4 linked regions of the Rhinolophus ferrumequinum genome follow. The protein of the gene in region 1 interacts with the protein of each later gene in a biochemical or structural test. Links are inferred from orthologs where the notes say so. Each region holds a gene or a part of one and is shown in the gene's direction. Other genes may lie near its edges. The genes, in order: E2F1, SETD7, RBL1 and PURA.

What was found.
Region 2: of the proteins of E2F1 (region 1) and SETD7, one has a biochemical effect on the other in vitro, tested with the Homo sapiens proteins (3 studies listed by BioGRID). The link is inferred for Rhinolophus ferrumequinum from reciprocal best matches to the Homo sapiens genes E2F1 and SETD7.
Region 3: the proteins of E2F1 (region 1) and RBL1 form a complex in vitro, tested with the Homo sapiens proteins (2 studies listed by BioGRID). The link is inferred for Rhinolophus ferrumequinum from reciprocal best matches to the Homo sapiens genes E2F1 and RBL1.
Region 4: the proteins of E2F1 (region 1) and PURA form a complex in vitro, tested with the Homo sapiens proteins (2 studies listed by BioGRID). The link is inferred for Rhinolophus ferrumequinum from reciprocal best matches to the Homo sapiens genes E2F1 and PURA.

Annotation. Positions count from the first base shown.
Region 1 is NC_046306.1:21,284,123-21,291,419, forward strand, and holds the start of E2F1 (transcription factor E2F1), read left to right. Parts: upstream 1-4,249; 5' UTR 4,250-4,395; coding exon 4,396-4,656; intron 4,657-7,297. UniProt on the Homo sapiens protein: Transcription activator that binds DNA cooperatively with DP proteins through the E2 recognition site, 5'-TTTC[CG]CGC-3' found in the promoter region of a number of genes whose products are involved in cell cycle regulation or in DNA replication.
Region 2 is NC_046301.1:15,387,262-15,394,347, reverse strand, and holds the start of SETD7 (histone-lysine N-methyltransferase SETD7), read left to right. Parts: upstream 1-4,011; 5' UTR 4,012-4,152; coding exon 4,153-4,186; intron 4,187-4,204; exon of another isoform or gene 4,205-4,223; intron 4,224-4,242; exon of another isoform or gene 4,243-4,794; intron 4,795-4,923; coding exon 4,924-5,055; intron 5,056-7,086. UniProt on the Homo sapiens protein: Histone methyltransferase that specifically monomethylates 'Lys-4' of histone H3. H3 'Lys-4' methylation represents a specific tag for epigenetic transcriptional activation.
Region 3 is NC_046306.1:18,788,335-18,795,716, forward strand, and holds the start of RBL1 (retinoblastoma-like protein 1), read left to right. Parts: upstream 1-4,245; 5' UTR 4,246-4,372; coding exon 4,373-4,528; intron 4,529-7,382. UniProt on the Homo sapiens protein: Key regulator of entry into cell division. Directly involved in heterochromatin formation by maintaining overall chromatin structure and, in particular, that of constitutive heterochromatin by stabilizing histone methylation.
Region 4 is NC_046307.1:14,772,039-14,779,124, forward strand, and holds the start of PURA (transcriptional activator protein Pur-alpha), read left to right. Parts: upstream 1-3,894; 5' UTR 3,895-4,283; intron 4,284-7,086. UniProt on the Homo sapiens protein: This is a probable transcription activator that specifically binds the purine-rich single strand of the PUR element located upstream of the MYC gene. May play a role in the initiation of DNA replication and in recombination.

The DNA of each region.
Region 1 (7,297 bases):
GAGGGTCAAGGCTCTGGCGAAATGGGGCACAGCAACTGCTCAGCACCATGATGGTCTGGCTAGTACCGTTTCCCCCAAAATTAGATAATCAATTCTAATGTGTCTTTTGGAGCAAAAATTAACATAAGACCCGATCTTATTTTACTAGAAGACCGGGTATAATATAATATACACGGTCTTATAGTAAAATAAGACTCTCTGGCCCACATCCCGCTAAACATACTGACCGACTGACGGCCAAGCACTTGTATTATATTATAATATAAAACCGAGTCTTACATTAATTTTTGCTCCAAAAGACGCATTAGAGCAGATTGTTCAGCTAGGTCTTATTTTTGGGGAAATATGATATTGCCAGATGTTACGGTTTTAAAAGAAAGCCAGATATTTGAATTTTTGTATAGCATTTCTAAATTAAAAATTTTCTTAACTAATTCATAATTCAGAAAAAAATACTCCGTGGGCAAATTAAATCATACATGTTGGCCAGTTTGCGAACTCTGTTTGTCCTCTTTTCTCATTCAACCCTGAGACCCATCCTGTAAAGGAGCCTTTGCCCCTTGTTCTACGGATGGGGCAAGCAAAGCTCTTCAAGAGGGTAAATCACTTACTCAAAGTCATCTAGCCAAGCTACACAGTTGGGGTCTGCCTGACTCCCAAGGCTTACTCCTATGATAGACGGCCTATCAGATGGGTAAGTGGTCTGTGTTCAGATACAGCCAGAACTGGCATGGTGACAATATCTCCAGGGACAGTAAACCGTCAGTCAAGCAGAGAATTTAGTGTAGCAACGAAGGATCATTTGAGACAAATGTGATGTTGCAGACATAAAACTTCCTGAACTCAACAATGGATGTCTCTGTGCCCCTTAATAAAATTAAGTCACCGCAGAATTTCTCCCAATTATGCATTCATAATGATGGGATGTTCATGTTCGGAGATTGTTTTTCCCCTGAAGCTAAGAATGTATGTGGAATAAAGAGCTTTGAATTATTGTGTCATTTGTCAGACTTAACGAACATATTGCGCAGGTCCATAGAAATAATTCTGACTCTTCCACTGGACTATGAGCTCCAGGTATCAGAGATAAGTCTGTTTTGCTTCCAGCTGTCTCCCTAGCACCTAGTATAATGCCTCACACATAGGAGGTATTCAACAAATATCTGTGGAATGAATGAGGCTCAGAGGAAGTGAATTGACTTGTCCAAGGTCACACAGACCAAGGTTCCTATTTATATCCCCCTGATTTACAAGCACATACTATCACGTTTACACCATCCTGCCTCTTGGAAAGAATTAAGGGAAAGATATCTCCAGGCAAAGGATCATGGGCTCAGGAGCTTCCACCGCTTTGGACTCCTCTAAAGTAAGGAGTTGGTGTAGGTAGTAATGGGGGTAAACATCTACTAATTAAGCCAATATACATTATAATACCTTTTGGAAAGCACACATTATAATCTTGACAGCCCTGAGCCTCCTGAGCTTGGCTCTTGGGGTATTTACAGAAGGTGGTGGGGTATAAAGAGCAGGCCCTGGGTTTTGCAGCGGAACAGGCTAAGTTCCCATCTCACTTCTGCTGTGTGACCTTGAACTTCAAGTGCCCCTCTCTGAGCCTCCTTCCTGCACAACGTTGATAAACAAGCTTCACTTATGGGATTCTCAGGTTAAAAGGAGCTCATCAATCAAAGTGGCTGCCCAGTAAGTGTGGATTTTTTGAAAACCTACCAGCCTGAGGAGAACTTTTGACACAGAGAACAACGTTATCGAGATTGGCCAGGCTTGGGGCCAAGGGGCCCCATCAGTCAGGCCTTTGCTGCTTTCAAGTGGGTATTAATAAATACAGAAGGCCCTTATCTCTTCCTTGATTGCACACTCGGAATTCTGGTCTTCACTCCTTTCCGCTGAGCAGGACAGGAAGGATTGTGGGAAGGACGGCACCTGCTTCTACCTGGGAGGTTGTGTACTTGAATATTTTGGGGAGGACAGGACTTTGGAAAACCTCTGGCTTTGGCCTCTCCAAGCCCAAACAATAGCCTTTTCATCTGCTAGGTAAGCTCATGCCCTTTGGGCCTCAGTTTCCCCATCATTAAATTGATAAAAATAACAATGTCTTCCTTCTCCAGCAACCAGTATAGTGCTTGGCACGTGACAGGTGCTCAATAAATGTTCGTTGAATGGCTGTTGGGTATGAGAGTGCTTTATGAAGTGAATATTATTGTTATGGAGACTCTTTGGGAAGATGTAAAGAAAAGAAAGTCCATCTGGAACAGGAATGTTGCTGATTTCTCTCACCCTCTGTCAGGGTCTGGCTTGATTTTTTCAAATGAGACCTACCATTCTAATGGTAGCTTTTCTGTCTGGGGAGGAGAAGGGGGACAGGCTGACCCCAGGGCTGGTAATCCAGTGTAGGCCAAATTCTATCACTGGCTGGCTTACAGGTCCCTCATGGGCCTCAACTTTCCCATCTGTACAGCAAGAGGCTACTAGTCTCTGGTCCCTCCTAGTGCTGACAGTCTAGGATTTGCAGTGAGTAATTTCACAAACTGTTTAGGAAACTCCTGTGTTCCTGAACCACCTTATAGTTCATAAAACATTTTCAGATCCCTTATGCTTTTCATCCCTATCTCAGATGAGGAACTGAAGCTGAGAAGTGTCGTCAAGAGGCTGTAATTTGAGGCATCACCACACATTTTGGTTATACAGGTATACCAATTTGTTCTCAAATGTGAATGTGCATAAAAACCCCCTGGAATGGGGATGGAGGATTGCTTGTGAAAATGTGCACGTAGAGATACTAAATGGGCAGGGGGTGGGGTTAGGCCCAAAGTGAACAAGCACCCAGGTGAGTCTGAAACCAGGACCCTAAGACGGCTCTTGGAGAACCAGGGCCTCCTGTTGCATTCTAAATAGCCTCTGGCATCATCAGCCTGTTTCCTTTCTCATAACTCCTCTCAGCACCTGCTTCAGCTGTGCTCAGGCCCTGTTGGAGTTCCCAGTCTAGTAGGGGAGGCAGATGGAGAAACTGAGTGTGGTCAGTGCTGGAACAGAGGCAGCATCCAGCAATAGAGGAAGTAATTCTGGAGGGCTTTCTGGAGGAAGTGATGTTTATACTGGGCCTACCGCTTTGATTCTTGTTTGTGTCTTAGCTACTTTTTATGTGTGTGGCACATCCCCACCAGGTGGCAGGCAAGTTCATTAAAATTATCAAGTCTTACACATCTCTGCCTTCAGTGCTGGCACAAGGCCTGGCACAGAGGACAATATTGGTCAAATCAGCTGACCGGAGCAATGATATTGGCTGATGGAGAGATCCCAGGGACTATGAAATACATTTTCATGCTCAGCATCCTCACCTCTTCCCTTTGTGAGATTAACATGGAGTTATTTTAATGGTGGAAATCCTTCATCATATTGCAAACATGTGTTACCTCTCTGTTCCCTCTCCCTTGTTCACTAGACTATGAGCCCTTCAGGGTATGAACTAAGAATGAGGCACAGAGCAGGCTCTCAAAACGTTTGTTGAATGAGTGAATGCACGCTTGGGTGAATGAATGTATAATAATGAATGAATAATGAATGAATGAATGAGTTCAAGCAGAAGCTGTGCATTTGGCTACTAAGATGAAAGAGGGCTCGGAGGAAAACCTCAAGCTGTAATGGGCCAGACTTCCCTCCCCATTTCCTGAGAGGCCCCTTCTGCTTGGGTTCTGGGTGATAGGGCGGGCATAGGATTTGAAAGTAAATGATAAAAGTGGGGCAAGCTGACGATGGGAGATGTGGCTAGGGCTTTGGAAATGGGCCTGAGACCCTAGAAAAGAGGGTCAGTTTCTAGAGATCTGGGCTGAGGGCGTTGGGGCTACAGGTGTGTGGAGGGTGTCTGGGGGTCATGTAAGGTACGCTGACGGTGAGATGCGTACAATGGACATTCGGTACTAAAGATCTCCTAGAGAGATCAGCGGGTGGGGTGTGTCGAGGTGGGAGCGGGGGCCACCACGCCTCGCAAAGGGGCAGTCCCGCCTGGGGGCGGGGAGTGTGAACGCTCTTGGCACCGCCCCGACAAAGCCTGCGCGCGCCCCGACCCGCAATTGGCCGCGCTTACTCGCACCGACGCCCCATCCCGCCCTTCACTGCCGGTCCGGCACGCTGTACCCAATAGCCACTGTCGCCGTCGCCTCCGTCACAGACCGGACAGCCAATAGTGACAGCGCTCGGCGGCTCGTGGCTCTTTCGCGGCAAAAAGGATTTGGCGCGCAAAAGTGGCCGGGACTTTGCAGGCAGCGGCGGCCGGGGGCGGAGCGGGATCCGGAGCGGGATCAAGCCCTAGCCGCGGCCTGCCGCCATGGGCCCGCGCCGCCGCCGCCGCCTGCCACCCGGGCCGCCCGGGCCGTGAGCGCCATGGCCGTGGCCGGGGCCCCCGCGGGCGGCCCATGCGCGCCGGCGCTGGAGGCCCTGCTCGGGGCCGGCGCGCTGCGGCTGCTCGACTCCTCGCAGATCGTCATCATCTCCACGGCGCAGGACGCCAGCGCCCCACCGGCCCCCGCTGGCCCTGCAGCGCCCGCTGCGGGTCCCTGCGACCCCGACCTGCTGCTCTTCGCCACGCCGCAGGCGCCCCGGCCCACACCCAGCGCGCCGCGCCCCGCGCTCGGCCGTCCGCCGGTACGGACACCAGGGACACTGGGCCGAATGTGCTGCTTGGACCCCCATGCAGACCCGGGCGGGGCGCGGTTTTGGGATGGGAGGCAGCTGGGGCGGGGGAGGGGTGGGCTGAGGCGCCGGGGCTGGGCGGTGCCCAGACTGGGTTGGGTCTCCAGGCCCCTCCCCGGGGTGCGGAGTGACCTCGGGCCAGTCCCTGTTTGCTCCTCTGCTGTGGGCTTTAGCTTCCTCACGGGAGCCGGTCAGACGCAGTAATCATAATGGCCCACGTGTATTCAACTGGCGCTGCTTGCATGCCAGGCCTCTGGCCGACTTCAAGGCAGCTAAAACTCACAACCTTGCTGTGAGCTTGGTGTCACTGCCTATCTGAACCGAGGCCCAGAGAGGGGAGGTGACTTCCTCTTGGTCACACCTCTGCAGGTGGTGGGACTGGGGTTTTAACTGAGGCCTGCTGGCTTTACATCAGATCTTGTGGCTAGGTAATGGGTATGGCAGCTTGGGGAGATGAAGTGAGGCATCCTGGGGCCAGACTGCTGAAGAGCCGTTGAGGAGGCCCTTTTTCATATCTGGATGCTCCACTGCCAGGTGCAGCCCTGGGCCTCTGGGCCTCTGGGGACAGGCCTCCTGGCTGGGAGGTCTTCTCTGCAATGGCAGGGTGGCTGGGCCAGCTGCTGGTCCCCTCCCTCTGCCTGTCCTTCCATCTGCCACCCTCCACCCTCCCAGGCCCTGGTTGTCATGGAACCTCATTAATCAGGCTGGCAGACCCCTGGGCTCCGGTGGAGGTACTGGTGGGCTTGGCCTCTGGAAGCTGGAGAAGAGGTCTCCAGTTCCAGGGGAGAGTAAACATCCTGGGGAGATGTCTTGAGAAAGTGCTCCTTGAGCAAAAGAGGCTCAAGATCAGTTCAGATTTGGGGGTGCCAGAAGAGGTGGCTGAATTACATGGGGAGAAAGGATGGAGTTTGGACCTGTGGGCTGCAGGGCAGGGTGGGGAGACCAGTTTGACAGGCCTTTTCTGTGGGTGAACGTGGGGCACGGACAGGCAGGCTGGGGTCTCAGCAGGAGGCTTGGAACAAGTAGGAGAGGTGAGGCAGAGCCTAGGGCAAGGAGGTGGAAGCGGCCCAACTGCTGGTGGGGGCCTAGGTGGCAGCTGGTCCCTGAAGCATCCCTTAACTCCCTTGGCCCGGTGCCCAGTGCTTCCTCCCTTCCAGAATCACCAAGATGCTAATAATAATAACAACAATAGTAGCACCATTGTTTTGAGATGTTTTCTTTGTCAGGCTCTGTGCCAAGCATTTACCCAATTAACTCATTTAACCCTCTCAACAGCCTTCCCCTTTTATAGATGGGGAAGCTGAGGCCTAGAGATGTTGGAACCTTCCCTAGTCATTAGCTAGTGAGTGGTGGGACCAATAGACATTTTCTGAGCACCTAACTGTTGGGATGCCTTACTTCCTGGAGATGCTAAGAGAGGTTGAAGGAAGTCCAGGGGCCCTTCCTCCTAATCAGTGACGGAGGGGGTGGGAATTGTACCAGGGTCTGGTCCCTTGGCTTGTCTCGTATACCCCAGTGGCCTGACCCTGCGGCTACCATCTTGGGGTCTGAACAAATATCCTCCATTTAGCTGACTTGACATGTACTCAGCAGGCCCAAGGCTGGGTCCTGCCCTCAGGGAGCTGAACTCCAGGTTCAGAGGGACTGCCAAGGACTGGGTCGAGGAAGGATGCCCTCCACTCCACCCCGAGGGGTGTCCGGGGCAGCCTCAAAGGACCTGAGCACTCCACTCATTTAACAGTTGACTTAGTGAGTACCCACGAGGTAGTAGGCACAAAGGCAAGTAAGGGGCCTCTGCCTTCACAGTACTTAAGCACTAGTGGGCATTTTCTACAGGTGAGCAGGCAGGTGTGGGAGCTGGTACCATCCTGGAGCTGAAGTCCAGAAAAATGGGCCCAGATTTTCCCCTCCAGCAACCCCAATTCTTGTACCTGTGGGTAACCACTGGCCACATGAGCTATGGCCTTCACCTGTCCACAGGTGTTTGGGGCAGTCCCTGAAAAAAGCTATAGGCTCAGCTTCTGTACCAGTGAGCATTCATTGAGTACCTCCTGCATACAGGCTCTGCAATTCAGCCATTTCTCCTGGCCCTTCCTGTCTACCTCTACTCTATTGTTACGGCTACTAAAACAACAACAAAAAAAGTGTAATACATAATAACTATAAAAAGTAAATAGACTAGAAAGGTGAAGGGGGCAGGCTCCCAGTCCCACCCATTATTTCTGTTTTCCTAAAACCTATTTTTATTTTTAGGTGGTTATGGCTGGTTTTCTAAAATTTCAAAAATTGTACTTTTTCATTTATTTCCACGTTCAAACAGTACCATCCGCACGGTTCTCCCTTGCACACATAGATTACCTCTGAAATACATTCTATAATAATAGAAACTGAATCATAGGAAAAAAGGTTTTTGTGCTTTTTTTTAACCCAAAAGGTTTATATATGCATTGCCCTAAAACAACGTGGTTTTTGTCAATGTCTTTGAGAGGATTCTGTGTCGATTTGCTTCAGTCCTTGATAGTTGCATGGTCTTCCAGGGTCTGGATGAACCAGTTTCTGTAGCCCCCTCCCATTTGAGTCATCCAGATTTTTT
Region 2 (7,086 bases), on another chromosome or scaffold:
AAATAATTTTTTAAAAATCAAAAAAATAAATTAATACTAACGTTAAAAATAAACACATTTGGTTTTGATGGTAGCTGTATTTTTCAAATTTTCTGCATCCTGTGGATTTGTCTGAGTTTCCAAAGCAGTGGCCTCTTTAAAAATCGTTTCCAATTTTTTCAGTTTTGTTTTTCAAATTGCATCACTCAGCAGCTTCACCAGACCCCAGCCTGATAAGGCTTTTCATATCCCATCATGCAAAGACCAAAAGAACCAGGCCTTCTGTGAACGGAGAACATTCGCCCGGAGTGGACCCATACAGGGAGATTTGGGCTGCGTCTTCCATTCCTCCATGCCCTGAAGTGTCTAAATTTAGTTTACTGGTTAGACTATAATGACATTAACATGTTGCTAGAACAAGAATCAAGCAAGAGAGAAAAAAGAAGCTTAATGTGGCATGAGGTATTTTAATGCCATGGCAACTCTGATGTCGTCTCTATTATTTAATTCACTTCCTCAGGTCAGGTTATTCTGCCCTGTCTCTTTCCTGCACTTCCTGTTGCTGTAATCAAATCAGGTCACTCTGAATTCCTGAGTGCTCTTCACGACTGCAGTCATGTCTATTTCCAGCAGAATGTATTTTCTCCACCTCTTCCTTTGCTCCCGGACCTTTGTTTGGTGCCCTTGTTCCCCGTTGCTCCCCTGGGCTCCACAAGCTGTAAACGCCTCTTACATCCACATCTCCTCCCCCGTGCCCTTCTCCTTGCTGCTCCTTTCCCTGCCCCTCCTTCCTGCTTCTGCACTAGTCACCAACATAGTTAGCCGCTTGATTTGTGACTCAGTGCTTCAGAACCCAAGGACCGTCGCTCTCCTGAAAGGCCCATGCCTCTCTTCCTAGAGTAAGATGAAGTCCCTCCTGGTGCCCAGGTCTCAGTGCCATCGCATTGAGATGACTGGGGGACTTGAGTATGGTAGTTTCCCCTTTCCTTTTCCTGTGCATGTCCCCGGGACTCTCCAGGCTCTATTTAGCTTTTCTCCAGGAAAGGTGGACAGAGAAGGTTTGAGCCCAACCTCCTTCCTCACTTCCAGATGAAAAAACTAAGGTCCAGAGAGCTTCACTGACCAGTTGCATGGCTAGTTCTTGGAGGAATCAAAACAAACAGGGTGAAAACTCAATCAAATTGGCGAATTTGGTGGGGGAAAAAATTTTGTTAAGGCGTGAGCTCTTATGATTATCTAAGAGTTCTTTCACTCATTCCGTCCTTGTCTTCCGGCCAGCAGTGTAAACAAGCAAAGCAGAACGGAGACACCAGCCAGAGATCCACAGGACACCTGGAGAGCTCCTTGCCTTCCAGGATCGGGGAGGCTGGGAAGACTGCCTGGGCCCCCGCAGCCTCTACCATCAGGGCAGGGTGCGGGGTCAGGCACAGCCCGCACTAGGGAATGCTGCAGAGTTCCACATCCATTAGATTTTTCCCAATTTGCAAGTGCGCATAGTGGTGAATTGACAGAATGGTTTCCCCTAAATGTAGGAAAGTGTATGAAATACAAGATACCTATAAAAATACATTTACTGTAAAAGTTATATCATCTTATAAGTAAGCCCCCGCCTTCTCTGGGGAAAGACATGGATGATAAAAATGAATAAAAGAACTCAGTATTTTGATTGCTTGCTGCAGTGGAAGAGGGATTTACGTTTCCCAAGCTGAGGGTGGAAAGGAGGGATATGTCCTTGGGTGCAAAGGAAGCAAGCCAGACAGCTTAGAAAAAGCCACTCCAAGGTGTGAGCGTGGAAGCAGGTCCCACGTGGGGTGCTGTGTGGTCCCTGCGCTCCCAGCGAGGGCTGGTTCTGGCACATTGATCTGCTGAGTTAGGCCCTGAGCCACGCAGCTGCTGCAGCTACCCACTGTGATTAAGAGCTTTATTGATTTTCTAGCCCAGGACCACATCGGTAGGGACAGAGTACGACAGAGGAGAATGGCGGGAAGCCAAGAGGAAAGAGGGCTTATGAAATGAGCTCTCAATGAAGAAAACTGTGGGGAAGAATGTGGTGGAAGCAGATTTGGGGCCAGTAGATGTGGGAAAGTAGAACACCTCAAAAACTCTTCCGACTTGAGCTGAAACAAAGCACATTGCCAACACAGGCAGAGGATCCCGTATGTGAGAGAGAGACTCAGCACTGGTTATCTACAACAGAATATTCCTCTCTGCAAAATCACCGCTGACATTGCCTAACCCTCATTCTGTACCAGGCACTGTGTTGGGCTGTAGGGATGTAAATAACAACCAGTCCGTCTAGAGAAGGAGATTGAACACATACCTAAAACGATTTGCAAAAATGCAAATGTATCTTCAGGGAGTCATAAAAACATTTTGCCTAAATTTGGGGCCCAGAGCCAGCAGGAATGAATGGGGGTTAAAGGAGGCAGGACTGTGTGTTGGCTGCTGCCTGCCTCACGTGCAATCTGATGGAGGTTCTCCCGGAGCTTTCAGCCCCGTCACTGCCTGTCCTGGCAGGAAGACCCTGGCGGCTTCCCTTGCCCACCCATTACTGGTCCGGAGGAGGCGCGCTTCGGGGATGCAGGCTGGGCTCCCAGTGCTCTTAGGGCAGCAGGTGGAAAGGAAGCAGTTGACAGTTTGGGTGTGCGGTACAGGCTGGGAAACCCTCATGGGCCCAACCGGATGGCTAGACAACCCTTTGGAACCGAGACATAGGGGCCGGGCATTTAGGACGTGATTCTTGCCTCCAGCCCCACATACTCACCCACCATGAACTTGTGTATCTGTGGCTCACCTGTGTGTTTTCAGGAGAGATTTCTTCCAACCTACATTTCCCTTCCCTTAGCCTTCTTTTAGTAAAGGAATAAATTATTTTTGCTTCCTGTTTGCTTTCAAAAAATTCTTTTTTGCCCCTGAAAATAAACTGGAAACTGGGGAAGATGTGTGTCTGCTGTGTTTTTGTATGTCAGTGTAATATATAAGGGAGGAGATGATATGTTCAAAAAAGGAAAATAAAAAAATAGCATATAACTCAAAACCAGTGAGTGACCAAGCTCAGTACATGATGGCTTTTTTTTTCCCCAGTCAAAAATAAAACCCCATTTCTGTGGTTCCTGTGTGAAAATGATGTGACCTGTGCGGCTCTTGCATCCATCTTCCACTGCGAGAAACACCTCCTCTGTGCCGCTTTGGCACCCAGGTATCTGCACTGGAGGGCTTCAAGGAGGCTCAACTTAAGCCAGAAGAGTTCAGAGAGGTGTAGACCAAACTGGAGGCCCTCTGAGTGGTCCAGCCCAAGCCAGAGGGATCTTATCCCAGTGTAGCCTCAGCCTTTTATCTCCTGGGGGAGGAATAGGCTGGCAGAGCAGGTGAGCAGCACCAGTCTCCCAACTCATAATCCACCACCCTTCCCTGTCTTTCTAAAACAGTCAAAAGGGATTGAAATTCCTGGCAGTGTATGGGACAAATGTCCCTACCACTGTTCTTTTCTTCACAGAGGAAAATTGAATGTAAGAAGAAATTCATAATACCTGGCATTTAAATACAGAGCCAAAAGCAAGGTGCGGTCTCCCTGGTGCTAGAAGTTCTTTGCAATCTTCAAAGCCTCATTCGTTGTTCGGAAAACAAAATCAAACAACTTTCTTTGCTCCCTCCTGCCCCTCCCTCGCGCAGTAGCTGTTCTTGGCAGATGTCCAGAGCGGCACCCGGTAATTCCACGGTACACTGTGTACATTTGCATCCATTTAACCAGCTATTTACAGCCACCCTTTATGCCACCTGTAAGAGGCAGCGCCACAATGACACTAAGTGGCAGGGCCGGGAATCGGGTGCCCCGTGATATTGTCCGCTTGAAAAGCCTGAATTTATGGAGTGGTTGGCACTTGGAGAAACAGGGTAACAGCTGGGGACATCACAGGAACGGTGCGGGAGGTGCCAGGAGGCGCACCAGACGGAGGGTCCTTCCTCATCAGCTCCACTCGGTGGCTCCTTTTCTATGACCACACAGCGAGGAGGAACCTGCGGGCCTTCCGTGCAGCCAGTTTCCTGCCTGATAAAGAGTCCGCAGCCGTTTGGACTTGAATTTCTGAATCACCGAGACGCCTGGCGGTCCGGAGGAGGGCGGGAACGCGATGCGCTGGGGTGGGAGCCGCAGTCCCGCGGAATCAGGACTGGATGTCACCCCCTGGAGTCTGGGAAACATGCTCGCGTATGTGATGCGGCGACATGGGGACACCTGCATTCCCGTGCGTGCCGCACTTGTGCAGCTCCGGGTGGCAAACGGGGTGAAGTGAGGACGTGGGCGAGAGGAAGTCGAGGCGCAGGAGCGTCAGAAACACTGTCAGCGTCCCTTGTTCTTTGGAGGCTGTCCCGACGTGGGGGTGGGGGCTGGTGGCTGGTGGGCACCGCGCGATGGACTTCCAAGTTGCCCGGGCACAGCTGGAGGTCAGGAGTGCAGGGCCCCCCGAGGGTCGGTACCCGGTGGTCCCAAGTGCCCACGAGAGGCCCGCGGCGCCCAGGACCGCATGGTGCGCTCGGAGCTCACAGAGCTGCCAAGAAGCCAAGCAGAAACCCTGATGGGCCCGGGGGCTGGTTGGCTGGGGCGCAGAGGCAACGCGGACTCCGAGCGCCTTTCGTTTTAAGGAGCCTTACTTCTGGGAAGGGACAGGGAACTGTCAATCAGCGAGGGAGGGAGCGCACCGGCTCCGGGTGATGTCAGCGGATCAGCTGCTCGCTAACAAAGAGGGGGTATTACAGGAGAAAGTTGCGGCGGCGGCGGCCTCGGCGGCACCCCGGAGCCTCGGAGGAGAGGGGCAAGTAGGCGAAGGGAAGGGGGTCGGCTGCGGCAGCGGCAGCTGAAGGCCAAGGAATTGAAAGGGCTGTAGGGGGAGGCAGTGCGAGCCAGCCCCGACTGCTCCTCCTCTTCCTCCTCCTCCAAACTCGCAGGGTTCAGCCCCAGCGCTCGCCCAGCCGCCCGAGCACCCGGAGGGACGGGAGGCAGCCGCGCGGCCCCGAGCTGGGCAGGGTCCCCAGGCGCCATGGATAGCGACGACGAGATGGTGGAGGAGGCGGTGGAAGGTACAAACATTTCTCTGGGTCCGGGGGAGGAGGCGCCGAGGGCTCGGAACGCGGAAGGAGTGCAGGGCTGTGAGCGGCGCTGCGCCGAGCCCCGCGGCCGCCACTGTACCCTGCACGGGTGGCCCGGCTCCGGCAGGGGCTGGACAGCCACCGCCACGCAGCCGGGAGCGCGCATGGAGCGGCGGGGCGCAGGCCGGGAAGCGGGCTCCGCGGCGACGGGGTCCCCAGTAGGGCACGGCGGCTCCATCCCGCCGGCCACAGCCTGCATCCCATCCTAGGAGTTTCGAAACCTGCCCTGCACTCTTCCCCCTTTCGGGGATGGAAGGTGGGGGTGCGCAGCAGGACAGTGCTTTGAGAACCGTGGTCTCCGCGGAGCAATGCCTCCGCCAGCTTTTGGCAACCCCGATCCCCTCTCCCGCCGCCAGCCCTTTCCTTCTTCTGGCCCCTGCGAATCACCGTGACCACGGCTGCGGCCGGGTGGGCCTCCCCCCCACCGCCCGCGCAGCGCATGGTACCGAACCTGGCACGTGGCAGCCGCGGCCCGAGCGGCCGCTCCTCCGAAAAGATGAAATCATTGCAGGGCAAGGGACGATACTCCCGACCCGGGGATTGAACGTGCGCAGACAGGGAGCGGGTGGCCCTCCCCTTTGCTGTCCCCAAGCGAACTCAGTCACACCGCCCCCTCCCCCTTCCTGCTTCCGAGCCGGGGGCCGCCGCCACGCTGTGCAGGCGCGCCGCAAGCCCGGACCGACATTGCTGGGTGACACTTAACTTTCTGAATTCCATGCAGTTGGCTGTGGGTGATATCACCGCCTGGGTGTCGTGTTTCTCCGCCCCTTCTCTTCTAGCGCCCCTCCCCCGACTTTTCTCGCACTTTGTTTTGCTGAGTTTCTCCACCTCTTTTTTTGCTAGTTCTAAAAAGCGAGGTGGGGACGTTATACAATCTCGTTGTTTGTATCATGAGATGTTATGATTTTGTAACAGTGAATACTGGAAGATACTCTTTAGCGTATTTATTTATTTGATTCTACCCAGACAGTACGTCGTGATGTTTTGCAATATTGTATGGTATTATTCCAGAATACTTTAAGCATCTAAGTAAACAATTTTTAGCTTTTGGTTGAATCTCGTTTCTACCTCATTTGTATAAACAATTTCTCATAAACGGTAAAGAGAAACAAAGTAGCAACACCGTACAAATACATAAAGATACGTAATTATGGCTACATTGGGAAAAGAAATCCATTTTTATGTTTTCATAAAACATAATTGACTCTTCTTCAGCAGCGCTCCAGAGGTCTTAGGATGAGATTAAGTAGAATAATATTTCTGAATTCTCTGAAAGGTATCCATTATAATGTAACTATTAAAACTTATTTCTTTGTCCATCTTCAAAGAGTGTTTGTTGTTGTTTTAATTTCACAATGTTGTGAATTCTCTAATAAGTAAAGCCAGTGCTGGGGCTTGCTGGGTCCCAAAGACATTGATGGAGTCCGTCCATTGAAAGCCTTCTTGCAATTTAAGTTATTGACTTCTTGTGCCTTCATGTTGTGCAAGATAAATGAAAAAATGCTCTTCTCAAGTTGTCAGGGCTTTCTCTCATTCTTCAAAGGGTACTTCTACTTGAGCTTGTGAAAATTTAATGCAAACCCTTGAGCATGGGGAGTGCTCCCCAGGTTAAACTACTTTCCCCTTTGAAGCTGCCTAGAAATAGAAAGCCCAGTTGTCCATGGTCCTCAAGCTCCTTGTAGAACGTGGACAAGCAACTTTAGAAATGTATCTCAGTGTTGTTTTTGAGCTTGTCTAATTTGTAGAAACAGACACCATTCTTTATATAAACAAGGAATGTTCTGTTATATAGGGTGACTATATACATGATTGTCCAAAATCAGAATATGCCTGAGAATGAGAGGGATCACTATTAATACCTATACTGGTAAAACAAAAACAAACTCACAGATACAGAGAACGGATCAGTGATTACCAGAGGGAAAGGGGGTTGGGGAGTGTGGGTGAAAGGGGTGAAGGAAG
Region 3 (7,382 bases), about 2.5 Mb from region 1:
TAGTCTTGGAGTCTCAAAAAGTCTTAATCAGGTTCTGGATACAGGCCCTGGGGAACTCTGAAATAGTAAACCACAATAGGGAGGTTAATCATAGAAGGGATCACACAATGAGATCAAAATAGAAACAACCTTCGTGATGTATCTAGATCAGACATGAAGGCAGAGTAAAATCTATTTCACTACCCATACTTCATTTTCTAGTCAAAAAAGCTCAGCTTAGTGCTAAATGGGCATGCCACTGGATGTTAAGAAGAAAAAAAAAACCAACGTGAACCCTGATAAAAAAGGTAGGGCCAAAGGAAAACAAGAAAGCATGCAAGTGAGGCTGGCTCTGACAGATGTGTCCTCAATGCTAAGCTGCCTAAATTTGATTGCACTGGTAATAATGAACCCCTGAAGAGTCTTGAGAAAGTGACATGCTAGAAATGCTGCTTGAGAAAAACTAGAGTAGTAACTAAATATAAAATGGGTTGGAAGAGAAAACATAAAATGTTGAGACAGCTAGAAACCTGGTGGAGGAGGAATCCACAAGATTTAGTGTAGAGGATGAAGGAACGGGGTGTCAGTGATAACACAGAGGACAGCATGGGCTGGGTTTTTTTTTTTTTTTTTGGTGAGTGTAGCAGTACTGTTTATTGAAAACTAATGACATTGTTCAGGTAGCATCCAAAGGGGGGCGGGGGCAGGAAGCCAGTACTGTTTAATTCTGCTTTAAAGGAAATAAGGGAACTCAGGAGTATTTTCCTTTTATTTTGGCTTCACTTCCAAGGCCTATACTTTCTAATAATTCAATTCAGGACAGTCTGAGAATGACGACATGGCAAAAGGAAAAAACCACAGAAGCAAGTGATTGGATGTAAAGGGTAACAGGTCAGGTGAATCAAGAGATGGGAGATGAAAATGCAAGACTTTACATAGACAGGATATGACTTATTCAAAGTCCAAGTTGAGAGTCCAGATTCAGCCCGGAAGAGAAGAAAAAAGAATAATGTTTAATGTTTCTCAGTTTTTGTTTGTTTGGTGGATGACCTTTGAGAGGTGTTTGTTTCTTTTGTTCTTGGATCATTTTCAAGCCAGCCATGCCCCTCAGTTTGTATCTGGATGATCTGAAAGTAACAGCAAAGGAAGAATCAGTATCTTGCACACAGGAGGCACTCAATAAACATTTGTGGAATGAAGAAATGTTTTTTAGGAGTTAGTATGCGTGAACTGGGAAAAGAATCAGGAGGATGAAATCTAATAGCAGAGAAGAAATGGGCTATAATACATATACAGCAACTCACTGAAATCCAAACCATCTCTTTAGAGAGATGAAAAATGGGGCGATGAGTCCCTGGTTTTGTTGGTTTATAATCCCTGACAGCTATTTCCTTTTGTATTGGTTTCTTTTCAAGGCCAGAATCACCCTCTGCAGTTCAAATCTGGAAAAAAAAAAAAAAGAGAGAGAGAGAGATTGATTAGTTATGGCAAAGGCAAAAAAACCTGAGGCTTCTTAACTCTTGTGATCTTGTCCACGACCCGCTGTGAAAGCCAGGATTGCATACGGAAGACTCATTTTTTTGTGTTTCCCCATCCTAGAAAATACCCTTCCCTTTGCCTCTCCTCCACCAAACTTCTTAAAGAGAAGTTTTTACTTCCTGCTTCAACTTTCTGACCTTCCTCCCCTTAGCCTCTTGGCGATAGTAATACGGCTTCCAGCCCCAGTGGGCTAAAGAAAACTGCTCTGGCAAAGGTCACTAAAAATATATGAATGATAATATATGAGGTCTTTGAATTCCTCATCCTATGTGAATTCTCTGCAATGTTGGACTTATTTCCTGACCTCTGAAATACTGCTCTTGTTTTTATACCTCTCTGGCCAGGTTTTTTTAAATTTTCTCCCCAAATTCTGCCCATCTCTGAATTCCACCCTTAAGTCTTTTCTCATGCCATCACACTCCCTCATACGAACCTGCTCCCTTCGCTTCATGTACTGCCTGAATATTCCCAAAATCTCCCTGTCTAGTCTGTGTCCCCACTCCTGGAATGCTTTCTTAAATAAGTACAGTAGGTTTATTAGGAAACAAATGAACCACTGCAGGAGGACTTGCATCCATCTCACCTGCACTAATCCTGACATCTCTTTGCTGATCGGAAAGGAAGTTAGGAGGATTGATAACCCGTTACAGACCCCTGGGCACTGGAGATAGACCTCCCTACAACTGCCCATAACCAATCCTCTAAGCAAAAACTCATAGGAGAGTCTGTTACAGACACTATGTGACAAGAGAATATGAGATGGTCCTACAGTCAACTGCAGTAGCTTCTAGAAGGGAGCAGAGTTGGACGTGCCACATGGGTGGTTGGGTTTGAGTTTGAGTTTTTGGGGGGAGTTTGAGTTTTTACTCATTGGAGACCCAGCTTGCAGCTGGTTCCCTAGTCCCAAAGGGCCACCTTCCAGAGTCCAACAGTCTCTCCTTAAACTTCCCGCACGCAGCATAAACACAGCAGTTCTAGAATTGGTCTGATCCCTCTGCTTACACTCTCATTATAGTTCACAGCATCACCTTTCACCCTCTTGGCCCAGATGGAAACGTGTTACAGGGGCTCCTTCCTCTTCAGCAGTGCCCCCCTTCAGTTCTAGGCCAGAGACCTGTCTCCAGGTTGGCTCCTGCGTATACTGGACCAGTCCTCTGCCATCTCCATACCTCTAGTCTCTACCCCACCCAATCCATGTGTCACACCGCAGCCAGAGGAACCTGTCCAAAACACCGACCATTCATCATCACCTTTCATTAAAACCTTCACTGATAATGTCCAGGCTTTTAGTGGAGCATATGAGGGGCTTTGCAACCTACCTTGCCCTGTCCCATTTCCATCTCTGGTGACCTCTTCCCTCATCCAAGCAACAATGGGCTCTTTGTAATTTCTCAAATACAACATGCTAAGTATTGAGTACCAACTACCAGCCAGGCGCTAGTCTAAACTTCGGAATATAGTGAATATGAAAGGAAGGCCCCTGCTCTCATGCAACTCACATTTGAGTAGGAAGAGCCAGTGAATACACAAGATAATTTCAGATAGTGATAAGGTACAATGAAGACAAATGGGGTTGGAGATAGGGTCAGCTATTTTAGGTACGGTGCTCAGAGATGGCCTGAGAAGGCCACAATTAATAGTTGAACTTGAATGAGGAGAAGCCAGACAAGCAAAGATCTGGTGTAGAGTATCTGGGGCTGTTTGATCAGTGTGTGACAAAGGCCTTAACGTAAGAACTTAGCTTGGTAGCTTGGCATTTTCAAGGTTCCAAAACAAAGCAGTGAGGTTGGACCTTATTACATACCTGGGAAGGGAGCGGAGAACATGAATGAGGCCAAATCACATGGGGCCTTGTGGCCATACAAAGGAGCCTGGATATTTTAAAGGCAAGACAAACCTATTGAAGAATTTTGAGTGAAGGACTAACGTGCTCTGATTTACCTTTAAAAAGATCACTCGGGCTCTTCATGAAGAGGGGGTTTTGGTGGAGCAGAGGGTAAGCTTCAAGACCAGTTCCACGCCTTCAGGCTTATGCTCAGGCCATTCCTAATACTGGAAAGACTGTCTTTACCAGGACGGTTCCCAGGGCCCAGGGAGCTGAGAAAGGTCCCCCTTACTGCATTTCTCTTAGTCCAGATCAAGCCTCATTTAGCGATCAAGACATGGCGAGGTGTCTCCGACCATCCTTGCCTCATCAACCCTTCAGTCATTCAACAGACCACTCGCTGGGCGCTGGAGTCACTGAGGAGACTCCAACGAGCCCCCCATTCCCACCCCCTACTCCCCCGCTGTCAAGGGACCACTTTTTTCGGTTCCCTACTCCATCTCTAACACAAGGGGTAAGTCTCAGACTGTTTGGCGCCGCAGAGCAGTAACAAACCAGGCCCATGCGTTGGCGGGACAGAGGAGCCTTCTTCCTAAGATGAACAAGGCCACCTAGTAATAGCCCCAGCCCTATCCCACACCCAAGAGCCGCGGAGACAAGAGTGGCGCCGCGGGCTTCGAGGTAGCATATGGACTACAACTCCCAACAGACTCTGCGCGCGGACTGCTGATCCCTCCGCTCCCAATTTGTCCTGCCAGCTGTGCCCACAGCTGCCTGCCGAGGGCCAAGACCAGGTTTTTTTCAGCACCCGAGGTCCGTCTTCTAATCACATTTCCTGAGAGGGACCGCTGGGAGCCCTGGAGGAGAGACGGACTTTTTCGGCTAGAACGCGGATGCAGACTATCGTAGAGACGTCGCTCTAAAACGGCCGATTTTCGCGCGCTTTGGCGCGGGTAGTTGTGGGTAGGGCGCCCAAGAGGGAGAAAGGAGCCGGGGGCTGTGATCGCGCCGCCCGCCGGGCCTGAGGGGATGTTCCAGAACAATCCCCACGCGGAGGGGGCGACGGTGGTCGCCGCGGCCGGGGAGGCGCTGCAGGCCCTGTGCCAGGAGCTGAACCTGGACGAGGGAAGCGCGGCCGAAGCCCTGGACGACTTCACCGCCATCCGGGGCAACTACAGCCTAGAGGTGAGCGGCGGCAGGTGGGACGGCGGGGCTCGACCCTCGCCAGGCCCCACCTCCGCCCCGCCCCTACCCTACCCTACCCTATGGGGCGGTGGGAGTTTCCCCACCGAGAAGGGTCGCCGCCCAGCCGGGCGCTGCAGAGTGCGAAGCTGGAAGGGCGAGTGCAGATCATGCTATCCTTTTTTTTTTTTTTTTGTGAGGCGGGAAACTGAAGTCCGGAAAAGGAGGGGTTTGCCCAAGGTCACACGCCACTCAGGGGGTCCCATAGACTCCACACCAGACTTCCCCCCGTCCTGCCAAGCGCCACAAACGTCACGTTACTGCGTTTAAATCTATTACAAAACCAAATACTATAATGAGAAAAGCTAAAATGAATTGTGTGCCAAGACATCACTGCCCAGCGCTTTAAGTATGTCATCTCACTTAGTTCTGGCTACAACCTCTTGAACCCGTTCTGTGATCCCCATTCTCTCAATGAGAAGCTGAGCTCCAAAGAGGTTAAGTTACTTGCCCAAGGTCACGTGGTTAGTGGTGGAGCCAGACTAAGGAGTCCGAGCCATTTAACCTCTCCACCCTTACGCCTCCCTAGGGCGGAAGTGTGGGTTACTCACTTTGAAACCAATGTGCATTCATACAGTGCTACCTCTCAGCTCCAGGTTCCTCCTCTCTCAGATGGGGATACTTAGATTATCCTGATGCTTTCGCACAATATCAGGCCATGACATAAAATAAATGTAGACAATCATTATTAGATTTTTCCTAGTCATTCTTGGGTTTAGTCCTCACGATAGCCCTGTGAACATGGCAAAGGAGTGTTACACCTGTTTTCCAGGTAATAATATTAAGGCAAGCATAAGCCCAGTGTACAGATAGAATTGTGATTGAGTGTATTTCAGCAATGAATCCAGTGGCCTTATATTCAAAGGCTTTCATGATCCTAGGGGGCCGGACTCAAAAGGTAGAGTGCTCCACTGACTCACCACCCAGTGAAATAATTAATTGATGGATTTAAAGGCAGAGTTGGAAATTTGGAGTTGAGTGTACGTGTCTATATATAAGGGAAAAGTACCCAAGACTCTTGGATGTCTCCATAGTAGCTCTAGATATACTGGGTAAAAGACAGTGATCTGCATCCATGGGGAACGTGACTGGAAAGCTGGGGAAAGAATAAGAAAGTAAGGAAGGTTATGAATTATTGTCTCAATGAAAACAACTGATTTTTAAAAGCCCGAGAAAGCATCTCTGACATCCCAGGTCCTCACTTAGTCTCTTAGTGAATAAGCTTTTACTGAGTGCCAACTGTAGTCAGGCCATTAAACTAGGCACCTCTTTCAGATTCTTGAATATGCCAAGCTCGTTCCCACTTGTGTGCTTTCTCCGTGCCATTCCCTGTACTGGGAAACTTCCCTCACTCACAACTCCAGGGAAGATTGAACAGCTAGATCTCCAGTTAGGCAGAGTTGATCAGGACCTCTTAAATTTTCGATTTAGAAAGCCCATATGTGTGAATTAAGATTTCATGAGTGTTGATTCTATCCACAGTGTTTTATTTTCTCTTTTTTCATTTTTGTTTGTTTTATGGTGAAGACTCTTGCAGTAGGCATCTTCATATATCTGCTGCTTCGTAAGAACCCTTCCCTGCAGCCCCTACGCCTCTCTAGTCCACCTGACCATCTCCTGCATACATTTTCCCTTGCTCTTCCCCTGCTCTCCTTACATTTTGGTGATTTACCACTTACCAATTTTAAGTCTCCCTCTGTGAATCCTCCCCTGACCTCTAGTCAAAATTATACTCACTACACTGTATTTTCCCACAACACGTTATTTTCATTTCTTACAGCATCTATCTGACCAATAATAGATAATAATATCTGTTCTTCTTGGCTCTAGACTTGGAGTTCCCTGAGGTCAGAAACTGTTTGTATTTCTAAGATCTAGCATCAAGGAATTAGAATAAATAATATAGGGAAAAAGTAATTCCAGTACTTAAATATTCTTTATCTTAATGTTGTTTTCATCTAGTAGCGTGTATCCAAAGGCTCTATAATTCTTGGATACTGGTTCCAAATAATTCATTACTCAAGGATTCTAAAAATATACAGCCTTAAGACTACCTGCCTCATTTAATGCCTTGAGCAAATAAGACTTCTCACTACTTTAATGTAGGAACACTGGGTTTTAGTTTAACTTTATTGGCGGCCACCCATTTCTGTCCACCCCTTTCGGATTATTGCAAGAAATCTATCAATCTTTTTATCCTTCTAGAGTCTAGTCTTAAAGAGGATCTGTGGAACAGTAATAGGAGCAGTTATTTGTTACTCTGAGATTTGTGTCTAACTCTTAAATTTCACGTATAGTTCAGCAGTGAAGTCATGAAGTGATTCTAGCTTGGAGATATCTCCAGTCTATGTCAGAGGATTAAGTGTTCAATTCCCAAATGTCACCTTTTTTTGTAGCATTGTAAATTGAGATATCTGCTAAGATAGACATCTATACTTACTATAACATTTTAAAGATTGGGGTAAATAATTTCCCCAATTTTTACCTCATAAAAATGAGTGTCTTTTATGTTGTGCAAGATAGGATTAATATTTTATGTGTGATTCCCTTGTCATCATTCCATTCTGTTCTTACCTTTCTCTGCCAAACTGGTTAAAAAAGAAACATAAAACTAAAATGGTAGAAAGGGGGGCAGCCAGATGGCTCAGTTGGTTAGAGCATGAGTTCTGAACAACAGGGTTGTGGGTTCGATTCCCCCATGGGCCAGTGAGCTGCAGCCTCCACAACTAGATTGAAGACAACGAGCTGCAGCTGAGCTTCCAGAGGGGCGGCCGAATGGCTCAGTTGGTTAGAACGG
Region 4 (7,086 bases), on another chromosome or scaffold:
ATTCTGCCTCCAGGTAGTGAAGTGACAATACAACTGATATTCTAAAGAAAGCAATCAAAGGAATTTGGGAGTCACCATACCAATATGCAACAACATTCAATAATATTTTCCAGTCCAGATAGATCTACTCTTTGGGAAGGCCGAGCTTTCCTTTCCATCTCTAACCTCATCCATATATTAGCTGTGACTTGGGAATTACTTTTAAAGAGAAGGAAAGAAAATGGAAAGGCACAAATAAGAATTTAGGCCACACTCTTGGCAAAAATATCAAGAATAACTACCATTTTCAAATCACCATGCCGTGCTATAAATTGACATTCCACTGATCATTGTTGAAGTTAAGACAGTGGTATCGTATCAACGTCTGTTACTTTTGCACTTGTTTTCATGCCATTACTCATAAACCAGGAAAATAAAAGCCAAAACTCCAAAACATTGCTACAAAAGCACTTTAATGGTTTTCAAACTGTGTTACCCCAGATTATGCAAGGATTTTCTATTAGAATTACTTGAAGGAAAAAAAAAGGATATTAAGGCAGTTTTTGGAGGTGTTAACTCACTGCCTTCTCAGACCACCGGTGCTCTGATAATAAATTCTTATTCTGTGATCTCTCCCCAAAATAAATGGAAATTGAGACTGTATATGTTTCCCTCAGGAAGAGGGACCCCTGAAATAAGACAAATCAGTCCATACATCTGGCCAGTGTTGTTTCTTAGCCAAATTACTTCAGGATGGGAGGAGGTGGTTAAAAAAGAAGTCAGACAACTGATACCAAAAAAGATAAAAGACTCATAGTTATATAAAATCTGAAAATAAGATCAAGTTTTAATAATTAGTGGCTCCTTTGCTCTCAAGTTGGGTATTATTATTTAGTGAGTTCCATCTGGATAAACACATTTAGGTGGTATTGTGGGTAGGAAGATGAGGAGTGATTTTCCACAGCTCTATACCCTCAGGAGAGAGGGTCCTACTTACTTGCTTTTGAGAATTGGTGCAACATCATGTTAGCATTTAACGAGTAAACTAAAGGATCACTTCAGTAACTCCTACACCAATAAAGAAAATGCTGTCCGCGTTTAAGTGAAAATTCAAGATCACTAGTATAGTCTGTTTCAGGGCACATACGAACTATACAAGTCTCATGCTCCTGATCCTCGTGCTCAAATCCCCAAACTGGAATAAAACCACATAAATGCCTGAGGAACCACTTCACACCCCAAACACGTGCAAACTTTGTTCAACAGAATACTTTACTGCCAAAATGGAGTTGGCAGAAGTTTGGATCCAAGGCCCACAGGCTGCATGATTTGCTGGCACCAGAGAGCTTTAAAATCTTAACATAACACTGCTGAGTTTGAGTTCTACCAATTTACTTGAGACTCCTTTTCCAAATTTGACTCAAGAAAGACGGAAGCTGACATCAAGACTTTATAAAGACTTCACCCTCTATCCAGATATAATTTGATTTCCCACTCCGGATGGTCATACTTCTATATTCCTTGATGGTTATGTTTATGCTGTAAATATAATGAAGTCTATTTTGAAATTCAATTCTGTTTGGTTGCTTGGATAAAGGGGCACATTGATAACTGCTGTAAATATACAAAATTAGTTATGACAAAGTTCTACTTAGAAAACATTTGAACCAAATAACCCCCATGTATCACAATTTATTATCCTCAAGAAATGTGAAATTGAGATATAGAATATCTATAAATTGCTATCATCTTACATTTGGTTTAGCTTGTCTTCTCACTTTTCTGAGTTTGAGTGATGGTTTACTTTGCATATAAACAATTTAGGAAGTGAGGAAAGGAGCCAAGAAGAGTCCTTTTCCACAAGGGTCAACAATAAGATCCTATTTGGGATCTTCATAAGCTTGATGCAGTTTAATGAGGAAAACTGCACACAAATTTTAAAATTGTAGTTAGAGTACTGGTAACTACACAACTAGCAACTTTAAACTTGTAAATGCTTGATAAATACGCAGTATTGAGAAACTGCAGCTTGGTTATCTTGTGCTGTTTCAATAAGAGATCAGATTTATAGTAAAGATGCTACTTGCTCTTCATACAGCTAGAAAAGGCTTTTTTTGGGGGGGATTTATCTTTTCCCTCAGCAGCTCCATGTATTTTATTAATAATAATTTCTCTGAAAGCCTTTCTATTCCTCCTCTAGAACCTCCTAAGTATTCTAATTCTCAGATATGATTTCGTATTTTCACCAGCTTCTAATCTCCAAAATTTAGTTGGAAGCATTTAAGACAAAACACTCTTTAGGATATCAAGTTGCAGAAGACTGTAGTTTTAAAGATATTATATAGTAGTGCTGCCACCTAAAGATGAGGTGAATGAAGAAGCAATTCAAAGGAAATGACCCATCATTCTTAAGCCCTTCTCAAAAATTTTCTCACCTCTAGCTAGGGTGAGAATTTGTTTCTCTCAGATATTAGGCACTGCCTACCATTCATTGAGGGGGTTGGGGGAGCCTCAAAAGATACCTGGAAATAAACAATTGGGGATTTCTGGTTTAGTGGATGAAGTAGGTGATAATAAACCTAAGGTGTTTTTCCCTCTATCAGTTACAGACTCCTTGCAACTCTGAACAACTGACTTATATTTTTGTAACTCAATTTTCTCATCTATAAAATGGGGTTAATTTCACTTTTCTCCTACTTGCCTCCCAGGCTTAACTAGGTAGGCTTCTTGGGAAAGAGCCTATAAATAAGTTTAAAAGTCTACTATTGCCTAATAAAAGTGTATCTTAACGGTGTATTGAAAAGAAACTTCAAAATAAAATATACTCAGTTAAGTAAGTTGGGACAGTGATTAAGTTTTCCTAAATCACAGATTGACTCCTCTGACATTTTTTAAATGATAAAGATGGTGAAGGCAGTTTTCTATTTATTTTGCAGCCGATAATTTTTAACTGATCCACCTTCTATGTTCACAGTCTTGCAGGATGGAGATGTAACAGCATATAAAGCGAGGAAAAAAGTTACCGTGCACCAAAATCTTGTCAAACTTGGTAAGATTTCAAGACAACTCTTAAACGGCATTTTATAGTTCTGCATTTCACCTTTGCATAATTTATGAAAATTAACTCGTCCCTTTTACTTTCTCCCTGTCAGCCCAAGGGCGCATCAATAATATTTATCAGGGTTTTGTCCTTAGTCGCAGTCCCTCAAAGGGGCCCAGTTTCACCTACACTGCGTGGGAGGCTGGGCAGCAACCCCACGCTTCCTGTCAAGGATTCCTGGGGCTAGAGCCTGAACGAGGTCTAGCCACTTTCTTCTTTATGCTAATTATGCCCTTCTAGCCCCTCTCGACAGACGTCTGAAGACCAAGGTGAGACCTTCGCGGGAGATGAAAAGCCTATTGCCTCCTGATATGCTGGCGGAACGCGGGTGGGAGGGAGGAGCGGGGGACGGGGGAGGGGGTAGGGTTAGTGTGACGCGGCGGTAACGGCAACGACAACGACGCTAAGGGCCCTAAATTGGAGCTGACGCAGGCCCTACAGGGTCCTATCCCCGCCTGAGCTTGACTTTGGCCTTCAAGGCCCAAGGAGGGATAAGTCCTCCAGGGGCCGCTACCGGCTGCGGGTGGAGGAAGTGCGCGCTGAGAGAGCTGCAGGCAGCCCCCTCCTCAGACGCGCCTCAAGGCCTGGGCCGCTGGCTGTTGACGCGCCAACGGCGGAGAGGACGCGCGCACGCGCGAGATGGGGGCGGAGGGAGCGCGCTCGGCGGCCGCCGCCGCGGCAACTGAAACGGAGGGACGCGAGGGCGGAGGGCGCGAGCCACGGAGGGAGGGTGGGGGGGAAAATGGTGGGTAGCGCTGAGCGCGCGCTGACGTCGCCCGGAGTCACGCACGGAGCGCCGGGTTACGCGCCGACGTCTGGCTGCCACGACTTGCCGTCTGCGGCGGCGACGGTGGCGGCGAGCGGATCCCGCAGGGGAAGGAGGAGGAGGAGGGAGAGCCAAAGGGGCTGTGAGTGAGCGGGAGAAGCAGGGGGTGAGCGGGGCTTGCCCGCGGGAGGGAGAACGAGCGAGAGCCGAGCCAGCCATCGGAGCCGCCTCCTCCTCCTCCCCTCGGCGTCCCGCCCCCGCCTGCCAGCCCGCCCTCCTCCCTCTTCAGCCAGCAGAGCCCGAGTGAGGCGCAGCTCGGCTCGCGCCGCTGTCCAGGACAGGTGTGCGCGCGCGCGCCCTCCTCCCCTCCCCCCTTCCTCGCGCCTGCCCAGCGCGCGCCCTCCCTCACCTGCGGCAGGACAGCGCCCGCCCGCCCGGGTAAGCCCCTCGCGACCTTCCCTGCTGCCACTGCCACAGCTTCAGGTGCCGCCCACCCCGTCCCCTCTAATTGCCCTCTTACGCCCCAGGAGTAATTACTGTATCATTGTAGACATCCCCGCACTCCCTCCGGGGACCCTGGCAGTGCAGTAACGCCCCCCCACCCCGTAGCGCACGAACAGACGAACTCCCTCCCACCTCCAAATAAGAACAAAATCACACGCCCCTTAAAAAAAAAAAAGATAATTCTACCTCCGCAGGCGCTGGAGACCACCAGTGGTGCCGTTTGTTTAGCAATCCCTAAGCCTCATTTCCCCTGGCCACCTTCGCCAGGGGCCTGGGACAGTGCGCCAAACGTGGCCGACACTCCCTGCACAGCAACCCTGGCAGGAGGGGAGAGGAAGGAGGATTCTAGACTCCACTACCAACCCCTTCTCTCCTGTGTTCAACCCCCCGCCCCTCCCGCAATGCATATACCCGCCCAGGATGCTTTGTAAAAATAAAAAATAATACATTGATGCTGACATCGCAGATGAAGCCAGGCCCAAGGATGGGTGGCCTGGACAAGGCATTTTTGCCGCCCCACAGAGCTAGGTCAGCTCAACAGCCTCCTCTGCCTTTGTCCGGGGGCAAAAGGAATGGATGCGAAGCTAGATGGGGCTTCCCGTTAAGCGATAGTGGGCCCCAGAGGTGGCTGAAATGTCTGTAGGGGAAGGGACCCCCCACAAATACATCTGCTTTGAGCCTGAACTTGGATTAAAAAAAGGCCCAAGAGTCCGACTGGGGCAACTTTTTTTGGTTCGTTGCTGTCTACCCCTGAATAAATGCCACGTTCATTTCCGCTGTCTCTGCGGGACCCTCTTGAGGGTTCTAATTTTCGTTCTTATCTGGACCCTTTAACGTTTCTGTCGGGCCGGGCGCTTTTGGACAGCTTTTTGCAGCGGCGTCTATGTTTGTGTCCTGTGTCCTTGGAAGGGAGGTCCCAGTGCTTTACAATAGGCTGAATTTGGTTTGACATCTTTTGGTAGACTGTCAGAGGAGAAAAGGAATTTTTTGATGACTTCAAGACCCCCCTGTTCCCCACCCAAACTGACGTTTGCGAATTGCGGCTTTGAAAATTAGAGTGTTGACTCGAGTGTGGAGAGAGTTGCTGATTTCATTCCTTTGGGTACTAGTAAAACCATTTAAGTATCAGCCGGAAGAGAAAAAACTATTGACATTTGCATCGGTTCGCTTTGGACCTTTGGGGTACATAAAATGTCGGGTTTTCTGAATCTTTTATTGAATTTAGAATGTGTACTACGTTTATTTAACTCTTCTACAAATGCTTAAAATGAAAACATTTTGTGAAATGCGAGGATTCTATCACATGAATTATTCTCTTCAGATTTTAAATGTTTAATTCATATCTTTAACCCTAAACATTAAAATAGCATTGAGGAAGCATAATTTAAAAGATTAGGTGAGCTATAGAAAGGGGATATGCTGTTTAAAAAATGATTTGTGAAATATTATTACTATTAGTCTTTGTTGTTGTTAAATGTTAAGATTTACTTGAGACTTTCCCTTAATTTTCCTGGTAGATAGCCATGAGAAGAAAGGGGTAATTCCTCCACTTTGAACAATTGCAGTATTACATTCCAGTTAGTTTTAATGATTTGGATATTGAAGATAATTGTCTGTCTGGTTTAAGACAAGCATTTAACCTAAGCAGCACTAGAAAACACAAGTTCTAATGTTCTTGCTTCTCTTTTATTTTGGAAATCTGCGATTTTGTGAAATGTTATCAGCATATTGTTTCTGTTGGGAACACTATAATCAAAAGGGTTTATTATTACCCAGAGGTAGATTTCCTCTCTCCAAGATTATTTTATAAATGTGTGTGCTAATTTTTACTTTTAAAAACCAAAGCTGAATTAGATTGTTTCAGAATCACCTGTAGTACAGGCTGAGGAAAATTGAGGCGTTTTTCCTTCTTGTTCTGGCTAATGTCTGTTTCACTTGCGAACAATTTTTTGTTGGTAAGAGCTTGTTAAAGACATAGAGATAATGGGATTAACAATAAAGCAATCTCTGTTCTCTTCAAATTGTGTGTGTAGTGTTAATAAAAGAGCACAAGAAATCTAGAGACATTTATCATGTTTAAAAATGTAAGCAAACTTTGAGGAGAAAGGGAATATTTTATTTTTCATTAATACGAATATTTTGCTGCATATTAATATTTTTCGTTTTCTCTTCGTGTTTTCTACATTGTATTGAAATTTTACATTTAATTTTACAACTGTTTGTTTTAAAATAATATATTCAAACAGCTAGACACTAGAACTGGCATTTCATTTACCAGGTTAGTATATTGTTTAGGAAGTTAACAAACGGTTGGAAGTTATTTTAAATCCACAAATTTTCTAATGGATTTTCAATGTTAGGATGCAAATCTAACTTTGAAATTCTATTTAGTGTTCTAAACTTTTTGTTTTAAGACTTTCTCTGAGTCAATATTCATTCTTCTCAGACTGCCTTTTAAGGCTCTTGTATTCTATAGTCTAGGGAAATCTGCCTTTCACCCCTGCCCCCAGTCTGACCAAAAGCCCAGATTTACAGGCTTATCCTGAAATTAACTCTCTTGTTTAACAATGTACTAAATGTTCAATTTATAATTGGATTATTTTGGTAAAGGTATTATTAGCCTTGTTTGCTTTTTAGATACATTTAAAAAGTAGGGCAGGGTCTGGTATATAATGGCAGAAATTTTATACATATATAATAAATAGCATGAAATAAGTAAGTACATCTTTATATAGAG